Bombyx mori: one gene and its partners. The protein of the gene in region 3 interacts with the protein of the main gene of each other region in a biochemical or structural test. Links are inferred from orthologs where the notes say so. Each region holds a gene or a part of one and is shown on either strand. Other genes may lie near its edges.

Region 1 (4,151 bases), on a different chromosome or scaffold from region 3:
TTATTATATTTTAGCCTGCAATGAAGACGAGCGTAACAGCAAGGTGGTGACAGTCGCCAGTGTCTACTACACGATCAGATTCGCAAACCCCTGAGAATATTATGCTTGAAACTCGGCACAGCCGCGGCCTGAAGTTATAGGCCACCTAAATCTCATGCCGAACTCTTCGACGAGCTCAACGAGCATCTACAGTTAATTGCCATTATTTATATTAAGACAATGTGTTAATTTTTAAACATAGAAAGCGAAAGATATAGAGATTTGTATAATAATATAGTTAATAAATACTAATCTAATTATAAGTTTACATTTATTCGTTGGTTAGTCGTCGCTCAAGCTAACCATTAACTGAAGTTAGTATAATTTAAGTCTAGCTGTAGCCATGGGCTTTGAGTAGCTCCTTCACTTTGAAGTAGAAACTCACTTTCCCACCAAAATATGAATAAACAAAAACGCGCCATGTTGTTCGGATTACCGCCTCCACTACAGATATTTTTGTACTTTATAGTTGGAGGAATTCACAGCTCACTCAAAACCCATAAGCACCCGACGTGAATGCCACTCTACCCAGCTTGGAATACTTACAATTGTGTTGTAGAGTTGCTATCCCATTTCAAACCAAGACACATCATGACTTAAATAGCTAGGGATTATCATGACTCAAATAGCAGGTAGCTATCCGTGCAGGCTCACTCTCTACGTACCAGTAATTACGAAGACTAGGTAATGATAAAATGAAATGAGATATGTAATTAATAAGATGAAATAATAAAATGTTTCAAAATGAAATTGTCTAGTAAACTAATCGAATATTACTCTGGCTAATCTTAATTTTTCATTTGGACATATTTATCTAAACTTAAACAGAACAAACAAACAGAACTAAAAAAATCAATACCTACCTAATCGCCTCTTTTATTCTAGTAATCCTATTTAAAATAGCATACAGGTACTATTACATTTAAAATGCGCAAACAATTTTTTAACTTTATCGGGCACATTGTATTAGGCAAAAATTAATACGTTTAAAATTTCATCGTCACATAAAAAGTACTAGGCCAAATTTAAAAAAGCGGGTAAATGAAATCTAAATTTTGAAAGCGATTATCATTTTGAAATTATTTGTGACATGAAATTATTTTATCCACATGTTATAGTATATTCGGATAATCTTATGTTTAAAACTATAATGTTCAGTTATTTATCTTGATTTGACCTATTTAACATATTTATTATGGTTTATTTCAGACCACCTTCTAACATATTCGAGATTAGTGTAAATCAGCATTAAATTATTTTTTCAATTGACCGTGTAGATGGCGCTTTTTAATACGTCAATCAAACAAAGGCCGCCATTACATTGCACTGTCAAATAACGAGATTACCAATAAAATCGTAGCTATTTCAAATTCAACAGGAAGTTGACGACGATTAACTGAAAAATTGGTGTCCCTTGCTATTTTAAGAAAGTGTTCATTTGATTTCCTTAAAATATTATGGCTCAAAACATCAATCCACATTACGCGTCGTCTTCGAACCCAGCTAAGCAGAGTGAAGACACGATTAAACTAAAAGACAATCATGCTGTGAGCAAACGGTGAGTTTTATTATTTTTACCACAACTTTTTCGTAATACCACGGCAAACACCCACGTAGACAACATACAATACAATTAGACTTGCGCAAAACATCACTTCCCAATGTAATGTGATATGACATCACTTTTACAGATAGGTGATATTACTCGAAAACATTACACATCACTCTTAACATTACTCGGTGCGTTCAAAGTGATGTGTATAAACACATCACTTAGGTAATGATTCGGGTGTATAGATACAATGTATTCGTCGTCACAGTATCTATTGAACGCACCGAGTAATGTTAAGAGTGATGTGTAATGTTTTCATCAATCATTACCTAAGTGATGTGTATAAACACATCACTTAGGTAATGATTCGGGTGTGTCATTACAATAGTGTATTACAATACAAAGTATGAACTTTGTATTGTAATACACTGTTATATTACTTGACAGATTGACTTACTTAATAATATAATAATTTTATTTTTTACTTAATATAATTTATTGTGGGATGAACGGATTTCATATGGCGACTTAGACTGCAAATTGAGCTCGACAATAATGTTAATATACGAGAGCAGTAGATGCATTGTTTCGGTGCGATATCCTCAAAAATATCCTCAAAAATCCAAGGAGGACTGTACTTTCATCTAAATGAACGTACGTCTAAACGCCGTTATTTCTTTCACTTATTAAACACGCATTAAAACAAATAATAAAACTATCTTCAAACAAGTGCTTAAGTAATTCAAATCAAACACAAAAATTAATATGAAATATTACTAAACAATTACGAGCGACTAGCGATTTTACAAAAGTTGCGAATAAAAAATTAAGTAAGTACTTGCGGGGAGCTACCGGCTGGCCGCATGAAAAATATAAACACAAATACCTATATTAAAATTCAGACGTACCATAGGTATAAAAATGTACCTAGCGGCCAGGACATATGGTTCAAAATCACTAGGAATAATTCCGTGTCGCTTGCTCATTTATTTTGCGTCGATCGGTCTGTCTCGCTCGCTCGGTTCCGTTCGTGTATTACACGACAAAGAAAGAAACATGTTGGGTGATAGTGTGATGTTTGTTTCCTTCGCGTAATGTGTGATGTTGCATTACATCGTAGAGTAATATTACCCGAGTAATATCACTCGCATTACTTACACATGTCTAAATACAATATATTTTGGTCCTTAGTATCGAAGTAGCGATTTGTGTCTAACGGTTTTTTTCCCACGAAAAAGTCTCGATTATTCTGTTCACTTGCATTATTGTTGGTTTGGGCTGTTTTAAGCACATTATGTAAATGATCATTTAGTGCATGTAATACAAAAGCGCCGAAAAAGTAAAAACCAAATAAAACTATTACACTTTACATAATGTGGTAAATTTAAAAGCACAGTTTTTAGCAGGTATAGGCATTCTCATTGGTTAAAGCGATAATTTTACAATAATTAATGTTCAGTAGGTAGGAATAAGTAAACTTTTTAAAAAGGTTTGTTAATTAGTCACCTTTTCTACATTAAATAGCATCAAGAGCCTTAGACCTTTAGACGCTTTCTAATTTGTGAGATTCTTAAATGTAAATTGTTTATATAGAATTACTTCTCTAGAACAATTACTACCATGTGAATGAATATACCTCCACCCAGAAAATATTGCAAGTGATATAAAATTTACACTCACACTACAACATCAGTCATTCCACATATGGCAGCATCCTATTTACCAAACAATAATTCTGCAAAAACAGAAATTTTATGTCATTACTGGTCAACTAACATTTCATTAGAAATGTTTCAAAGACTCACTACTTAATTAATAAACCTGCTATTAGATTAATGCACTTAAAAAAAACACTATATGCCATTACTTTTGTGTTATAATTTGCATAATTCAACTCATTTTATATTTCTTTTTAATAGACTCCAGAAAGAGCTAATGGAGCTAATGCGGTGCAGTGATAAAGGAATATCAGCATTCCCTGAAAGTGAAAACCTCTTCAAATGGATCGGGACCATCAATGGACCTTTAGAAACTGTATACGCAGGCCACAAATACAAATTATCACTTGAATTTCCAAATTCATACCCGTACGCACCACCTGTTGTCAAATTTATGACTCCGTGTTTTCATCCAAATGTTGACACGTGTGGTTTAATATGTTTAGATATTTTAAAAGATAAGTGGACGGCTTTATATGATGTACGTACAGTATTGTTGTCAATCCAAAGTCTTTTAGCAGAACCAAATACACAAAGCCCTTTAAACCAGCAAGCATCATATCTATGGCCGAACCAAGCTGCCTATAAAAAATATTTAGATGAATTTTACAATAAACATAAAGACTCATAGTCTGTTTTAGAGATTATAAGTGTGTTTTATTTTTCGTTGTAATATTTTTGTGTCGTGGATATTTCAGATTGTGACTGTTGAGGGTTGGTTGGGCTCAGGTTTTGTCTGCTTAGACACTGCAGTCTTGCAAAAAAACTTAATTTTAGACCATACTTTGTAATTTATATTAAAATTTGTAAAATACACTACGGTTGAAATAAATTAATATCAC
Region 2 (4,242 bases), on a different chromosome or scaffold from region 3:
TCTATGTGTCTAGGGACACAAAATTAAGGAGACCTGTTAATACCCCCGTGCACAAAACAAAACTCTGATGTGGACGTTCCTAGATAAGGAATGTACTTTTGAGTTTGTTGGATTCGCCTCTGAACAAATAAAATACCCACACGACCAAATGGTTTGTTAGAAAAGTCATATTAAAATTTATTTTGCTAAAAGTTAAATGTAACATACTCTGGCAATAATTAGACTACCGTACTTTATGACTTAATCACGAACACTAACGATTACTTCTAACGTCTAAGAGAAGACTAAGTCATCCATGAGAACTACAACTGTAAATTACCTGTACGTAGCGCCGGAAATAATAAAACTACAATAAAAAAAAAATTGTGAAAAGACGTTGAGTTTCAAATGTGTCTACCACACGTGAAGTCGAAGAAAATCTATACTAATATTATAAAGAGGAAAGATTTGTTTGTTTGTTTGTTTCGAATAGGCTCCGAAACTACTGGACCGATTTGAAAAATTCTTTTTCCATTAGAAGCCGACATTGTCCCTGATGAACATAGGCTACTTTTTTATTTTATTTTTTATTTATTTTTTTGGTTTCATGTGTGTTTTAATGTTTCCGAAGCGAAGCGAGGGCGGGTCGCTAGTATTAGATAATAGAAAATAAACATGATTAAGGAATATAATTATAAAGGAAGTGAGCGAATGAAAAATATTAATTGAAGTGAGATATAACACCCTTAAGTGTCCATTGAGATGAATTGAAATCACCTTTCAGAATTTACTGAGCTCAATGGAGTTTTTGGAAGTTGCCGCGAATCTACGTTTAGCGATTTTGTTTCATTTCACGCATTTCTACATGTACTTCAACTGATATTAAATCATAAGTAAGCCACCATTAGGAAAGTTAAGGACCATTACATCTGAATGAACGATAAATTAACAAAATAAATCAATTCACATATTTTGCCCTCTCTCTAAAAAGTCGATGAAACAATTAATTGTTGCCAGTTTCGATTTATAAAATGTTCATGTAGATAATTAGTACAAATCAGCGATTTTTAATTTATTTCCCAATTTTGCGAACTTGCAAATTAGATAAATAAATAAATAAAAATATTCCCCAAAGATATAGTAACAAAAAGTAAGATCGGTCAAGATTATTGAACATAGGTAGCTTAGTATTTATAGCACCTTTCACTTATGTCATAATATCTCTATAGTATGTGGTAGTAAGGAACAGTAAGATAAATTAGCATCACATCTGTGATTTAATATATGGAATTTTATACGTAAATATTTAGTTTTAATTAAGAACACAGTGTGACGACCCATTAAAAATTTTAGCGCATTGTGGAATGAATGTTATAGGAATAGTTAAAGCTACCTTTGCCTAATTGGGCAGGCTAATAAAAAAAATGCAGTTTTATGTTTTGAATTTTGAAAATTTTGATAGATCAACTCGAAATCAAATTTGATAAGTAGTGAACATTTTTCTGAATAATAAAAATTGCATGCTCTGTTGTAGAAAGAGATTAATATTTCGAAATTCCTTCTCAAAACAAATAGAAAAATTCTAAAAACTTAGTGACATTTCGTTTTAGTGTAAAAGGTGATAATAACGCAAGCAAATGCTATGAGCGCCTGACATAAAGAAGGAGAAGCAGAAGCATGTCGAACGTGGAAAACGTATGTCCTCAAGCGTTGCGTGGCGTGGCACGCGAACTCCGACAGCTGGCGGCTAATCCTCCGCCGGGCATCAAACTGCAGCTGCGAGACGACGACATATCTGACATAGTCGCGCTTATCGATGGTCCCGGTAAGAATCTATTCAAATATGATACTGCCCTCACCTCCAGAACCGGTGTGACATTTCGTTAAACAAAAGGCATATCTACTTTCTCATGTCATGTAATAAATCAGAGGTGGAAAGGTAAATGGTCCAATGGCAATGTCTGGATTTGTTACATTGAAGTACATCTCAATATTCAACGTCACAGTTACAATTTATACCGATTTTTTGCTATCTGCTTGATATTTATTTTGTTTTGAATGTCATTACTTATATCTTGCAATGTCTCAATTTTGTATGGAAAATTTGGACATGATTTTTTTTCAATCTGCATCTCCCGTCTTTTAGATATTCAATAATTATGGAGTCCTTTGAAGTCATGGTCTTTCTAAAGATATATTAACAGCTGCAGATATTACATTGTCAGAACTTTGTTTAACTTATAATTTAGACCTCTGAAGAGATGAGGAATAGGAGAATCTGACACTATCTAAAAGTCATAATTTTAAGAAATGTATGATGTGTTCTTTTTGCATATGGGACTTTCTTTAAAACTAAACAATAAATAAATACCTTCATAATGAACACCACACAATATAAGCCACAGATAGGTGAACCAATTCTCAATATATACCACTGCCAGTTATGTTCAAAGTTTTCAAAAAGCTGTTGTCATGTTACATCTTACCTTTATTGGAGAAAAACAAAATCATCCCAAAGAAGTTTAGTTTTAGGACGACATATTTAGTAGTTGTGCAGTTATAGAATGATAGAGAAAATGAGAAAGTCAGGTGTTTTTAGGCCTCTCAAGCACCAGTCCTCCTCGGTTGATTACGACTAACCCATACACAGCCCACTGAGTATCTTGCTGGATCTTCTCAGTAGGTCGCAATTCTGATCTGGTGGTAAATGTTTCAAAGCACTGTTCTTGCTAGGTCTAGTGCTAGCAAATTCTCTCAGGTTGAGCCTGTGAGCTCGCCTATCTGTTCACGAGAAGCTGGAATATCTCCACAGGATACTAGCCAATAAGTAGGGAAAAATTATACATATACACATTTTTTTATGTGTATGATTTTTATGCTTTTTTTTTTCTAATTGAATTAATGTGTCAAAATATTTTTGAGCATTTTTGTATATAGTTGTTATATCTAAAGCTGTAAGCTGTAAGCTGTGTTAAGTAAAATGAGATTTTAGTATGGCCAGAGGTTTAATATTTTTTTTATTGCTTTGATGCATGGACGAGCTCACAGCCCACCTGGTGTTAAGTAGTTACTGGAGCCCATAGACATTTACAATGTAAATGCGCCACCCACCTTGAGATATAAGTTGTAAGGTCTCAGTATAGTTACAATGGCTGCCCCACCCTTCAAGTCAAAACGCATTACTGCTTCACGGCAGAAACAGGCGCGGTGGTGGTATCTACCCGTGCGAACTCACATAAGGTCCTACCACCAGTAAAAACCAGATTCAAGGGTATCAACTAAATTAATGCAAAAGTTGATGATTTCAGCGGAGACGCCGTATGAAGGGGGCGTGTTCCGCGTGCGACTCGTGCTCGGACGCGAGTTCCCCGCCAGCGCACCGCGGGCATACTTCGTCACCCGCGTCTTCCACCCCAACGTCGCCGCCGAGACTGGCGAGGTCTGCGTCAACACGCTCGCACGCGACTGGCGCCCCGAGCTCGGGCTCCGGCACGCGCTCCTCGCTCTGCGCTGTCTGCTCATCGCGCCCAACCCTGACTCGGCACTCAACGCGGAGGCCGCCGCCCTACTGCGCGACCGCTACGACGACTACTTCGCGCGCGCCAAGCTGCTCACCGACATCCACGCGACTCGCAGCCGCGCCCCCGCCCCCGCGCCCGCCGCCGCGCCCGCGCACGCGCCCGCCGCCGCGCCCGCGCACGCGCCCGCGCCGCCCGCCAAGCGCCGCCCCGCGCCTCCCCCCCGCGCAGACAAGCGCCGCATCCTGAAGCGGTTATGAGCCGTCCCGAGATCAAACGATCAGACCACGCAAATGGACTCGTCCAACACGAGCGAACTTTAAGATATTTGCAAAATTGAACTTTAAGTAGTAGGTGAACTTTTTAATAATTTAATGTGTATCTGCAAAAACTGAAATCCTTGCGTTGAGTGTGCGCTGGACAGTCTGCTGCCCTTCCCCCATCTCCTTCCCGAAGCTCTTCCCTCGCGAACGTCGAGTCACTAAATAAAATCTTACCCCAAGTTAATTGAGTTAGAATCCTCCGTGCGGCTGGAGCTGAGCTGCGAGTGGCGCGGCTGGACAGAGCGCTCTGCTGCACGTGACGCTCGGAATATAAATTCACAATATCGCTATTAAAATACGTTTCCATAGATTTAATTCCTAGATTTGTAATATTGTATTGAATTAAAATAGAATAATATATTAATAACTGTGCGTACAAAAATGCGTGTTTTAATTCATAATTATTCAAACAGTAAAAACAC
Region 3 (3,993 bases):
GGCCATGCGCGAAGCAGCTGGTAGATGTCTACCCCCGCGTGTATTATTTACGCGTCATTGCCAAACAAAAATTACGCGTTTGAAACTAAATGATATTTGATTAAGTAGGTGGTAGGACCTCTTGTGAGTCCGCGCGGGTAGGTACCACTACTTCGCCTATTTCTGCCATGAAACAGTAATGCGTTTCGGCTTGAAGGGTGGGGCAGCCGTTGTAACTATACTGAGACCTTAGAACTTATATCTCAACGTGGGTGGCGTATTTAGTTTGTAGATGTCTATGGGCTCCAATAACCACTTAACATCAGGTGGGCTGTGAGCTCGTCCACCCATCGAAGCAACAAGAAAAATTAAAAAAATTAAAAGGACGATTTCGGGGCAAAAAAAATTGCTTGCCATCAACGTATCCTGTCAGGACTTCAGCTTTGATCACATTTCTTTGAAGTGCTGTTAAGCAATATGTGGGACCTTTTTGGTTTATAAACACACCGATGTCGGCATGCAGCACACTAAGCTCCAGAGGGCCTAGAATGGCATCCACTCTCTTCTCGTGAGTTTTGCGAAAGGCAACTCGAAGAATAGACAGCAAGGTTCACAGTTAATTTTTGCTGAGAGATTAATGAGTTGTCACAACCCATTCTGTGACATGACTTCTAAGTCAGTTTTTACAGTACATCGGCTGCTCCACACATCAAATGTTTACATTTTACTGCTTCACAGCAAAAATATGTAGGATGGTGGTCACTATCAGTGCAGGCAGAAACGATGCCCAGTAAAAAAGTATATTATAAATACTGTATATAAAGATTATATTTTAAGAGTATCCCAGTATTTTGGTTTTTTTGGGAGAGATAATTTGCCCTTTGACCAAATTATTTGGTGCCAAAGGCAAATCATCCAGAATCCTTATAGAATATTTTTCCAGAGATTGTTTTCTATCACTACAGATGTTTTGTTAATAATCATTACCTAATATTTATAATTTCAGAGTGGTTTGAACAAATTCAGGTTGTGGGAGTCGAACTACACTGCATCTAATCCCTGCCCAAATACAAATAATGGAAAAGCAGTGAAAATTTTAGCAGTAGGCAGCGGCTTGGCTCTGCCCCTAGCATTGCTGAGGTCCATGGGCGACGGTAACCACTCACCATCAGGTGGGCCGTATGCCCACAGGGGCAATAAAAAAAAAAAGAACATAAGGTAGGCTAATTTCACCAACACATCTAAATTTATCAGTAGTTCATATCGGGGTGAAAGGCTATTTGATTTGAGCGACATTTTTGCAGCTTTATAGCAGAGCCATTTAAAGTTTAAAATTTGAAAAAAAAAACATAATAAAAAAAAAACTTCTTTAGCTTAATTAAAGTTCAATTAAAAAATTATACTGACATCAAATAAAATGCACCTTTAATTACAAAGATAAATATCGAATATTATCTCTTAAACCAAATAATAACCTTTCACCCCTCGTTATTATGATATTTTTGACAATCCCTTGTACAACAATTCACAGAAAACTTTAATAATATTTAATCTGTACTAGCATAGTAGCAACCTTTTGTCTTTAAAACTTAGTACTCTGCTGAATTATGAAAGGAAGGAAACTGTAGAACTCCGTAATCAAAGCTTCAAAGAAAGAAAAATGTTGTGATATTGTCAACTTCATTTATGTTAGATTTGCATTATTCTGACATTAATAATAAAAGTTGCTATTATGTGCAGATCAATCCCTATATTCTATACTACATACCACCTGATTAATAAGTTAAGGTGAGATTTAAACTTGTTATCACTAAACTAAAAATGACTAATAAGGATTTGTGACTCTATAATCATCGAACCATTTAACTACTTATTGAGTTTGAAAACACCAAACAATAAATTTTTCCAAATTATTCTAGCCTTATAGGTTGGTAAACAAAATATAGTTACAAAATGGGACAGCAGTGACACAATAAAGTGTGAGAATAAAAACCTATATTTATTTATTATTTAAACTATATTTTCTTAATTTATGGTATGTACTTACGAATATTTCACTTGTTATTGAACTTCCAGTCTTGTCTGCACATAGGACACTGCTGTTGAGGCTGAGAGTGTAGCCACTTTACGATACAGTGAATGTGGAAACAGTGAGAGCAAGCACCCCAAACTAGAGGGCAGTCGTCCCCAGGTAGTTTGCAGTCTGGACAGCAGCTATCAAATGGCATACGACAAATCCCACAATTGTCGTCGTTTGCTACCCACCTCCAAGTTGCAACCCCTGTCCAACCTAAAATGAATTATCTCGTTACTGTGAATATTTCAATTTCAATCGGTTCTTCCTTGTATGAGGAATTTTTAAGAATTGTGCTCTATGACAATAAGGCACTTAGCAAAAATTACTACTTAATTTACTTTAATGTCAGTGTGTTTTAAGTTGCAAAGAATAAAGTGTAAATTAACCAGGGAAAATAAACATTATGAAAAAAAGAGATTGTGCTTACTTTTTACAGTTACTTTCATAGCGCGATCATGAGGCTAAAATAGAAGTTTTAGATTTATTTAACCTTAAGATCCTTCATAATTAAATTAACGATTTTTATGATATAATATGTTGACTGAACAAATTTTTTTCAGTATTTATCATTTGCCTTTAAGTTTATGTGCTAATTTTAAAAATATAATGTTTATTTTATTAATCTAACCACTGAAGTAAAATCAAGTAAGATCAAATAAATTTGTTTTTAATGTCAGTCATATGTCAGTCTTATCGGCTACTTTATTTTTTGAACTGGAAAAACGAAGGTATCACACCATACAGCGTATTTTTTGTGTATTCTGTGAATTCTGTGTTTTGAAAAACCATAGAGCGAAATGAGATGAAGTTTATTAATTTGAGACAGTAAATCAATTAGGATGTTAATGAAATGAGATGAGATGTGATGAAATATAGTCTCAGTGGAGTGGTGGTTATGCACCAAGACTTTTTGGAAGCTTTTGAGAAGCTACGTCCAGCGAATTTGTTTCATTTTCCCACATTTGTGCACCTTCAGAGATACTAAACAGTTAATAATGTAATATAGTATAATAATAGTGTAATAATCACCGTTATTACACGTTTAAACATGAGCACTACTTTAACAAAATTAACAGAACTTAGCGCCTTGCGTTCCCGCTAAAAAAATTGTCAGATGTTAATTCGAAAATTTTCAAAGTGTAATTTTTATTATTTTATTTCAAAATCTGATAGGCACGGGGATCGATACATGAAACGAAGTCATAAACGAGTACCATATTTTGAAATGATGTTAAGTGAAATAAAAAAAAATTACCAAACTCAATTAAACTACTAAAAATCATTTGAAATAAAAAGAACTAAAAACTAAACAAGGTCTTTAATAAATCACTTTTAAACAATACTAAAAATAGAAATTACACATGTACTGGAACTTCAGTGAAAGAACTGCAAGCGGAAGCAACTTGAAATACGCAAGTACCGGTAAAATGGGGCGATTAGGGACAAATTCCATCTTTATGACCAATTTTAAGGTAGTTGTTGATGTATATAATGCTATATCAGGATCAAAATGATTGAGTCTTGGGAGCATCTTTGTTGTCCAATTTAAAACTATGCAACTAGCATTCCAGTTTAAGCAAAAAAAGCAAAAATAGGTGTAATCCCTATTTACCCGGAAATTGCGGTTAATTGGGACGAAATGAGAAATTTGCTAGGGTGGGCACTACTTGGTTTTAATTTATTTATTTAGTTGCACCAACAAAGTGATCATCAATAAAAAACATTAAAAAACGGACACTCTGAACAAATAATAAATATTTTATTATGTATTACTTAGACATTTTTGTCCACCTTGAGATTTCATTGTTCTTATTACATGTCTGTGCAAAATTGACTTACTTATATTAAATTGCTTAGCTATTTCAACTAAAGACTTATTCCCAAATAGAAAATTTCCTAATTGCTGTTTTTAATATTAAGGGATAATATCTCTTATA

What was found.
Region 1: the proteins of anaphase promoting complex subunit 11 (region 3) and ubiquitin-conjugating enzyme E2 C form a complex in vitro, tested with the Homo sapiens proteins (66 studies listed by BioGRID). The link is inferred for Bombyx mori from reciprocal best matches to the Homo sapiens genes ANAPC11 and UBE2C.
Region 2: the proteins of anaphase promoting complex subunit 11 (region 3) and ubiquitin-conjugating enzyme E2 S form a complex in vitro, tested with the Homo sapiens proteins (31 studies listed by BioGRID). The link is inferred for Bombyx mori from reciprocal best matches to the Homo sapiens genes ANAPC11 and UBE2S.

Annotation. Positions count from the first base shown.
Region 1 is NC_085126.1:12,142,599-12,146,749, reverse strand, and holds the start of ubiquitin-conjugating enzyme E2 C, read left to right. Parts: upstream 1-1,251; 5' UTR 1,252-1,496; coding exon 1,497-1,597; intron 1,598-3,510; coding exon 3,511-3,940; 3' UTR 3,941-4,151. UniProt on the Homo sapiens protein: Accepts ubiquitin from the E1 complex and catalyzes its covalent attachment to other proteins. In vitro catalyzes 'Lys-11'- and 'Lys-48'-linked polyubiquitination.
Region 2 is NC_085116.1:176,341-180,582, forward strand, and holds ubiquitin-conjugating enzyme E2 S, read left to right. Parts: upstream 1-1,331; 5' UTR 1,332-1,466; exon of another isoform or gene 1,467-1,589; 5' UTR 1,590-1,656; coding exon 1,657-1,804; intron 1,805-3,287; coding exon 3,288-3,757; 3' UTR 3,758-4,202; downstream 4,203-4,242. UniProt on the Homo sapiens protein: Accepts ubiquitin from the E1 complex and catalyzes its covalent attachment to other proteins. Catalyzes 'Lys-11'-linked polyubiquitination.
Region 3 is NC_085118.1:13,747,332-13,751,324, reverse strand, and holds the start of anaphase promoting complex subunit 11, read right to left. Parts: upstream 2,685-3,993; 5' UTR 2,503-2,684; coding exon 2,484-2,502; intron 2,474-2,483; exon of another isoform or gene 2,270-2,473; coding exon 2,034-2,269; 3' UTR 2,027-2,033; exon of another isoform or gene 986-2,026; intron 1-985. UniProt on the Homo sapiens protein: Together with the cullin protein ANAPC2, constitutes the catalytic component of the anaphase promoting complex/cyclosome (APC/C), a cell cycle-regulated E3 ubiquitin ligase that controls progression through mitosis and the G1 phase of the cell cycle.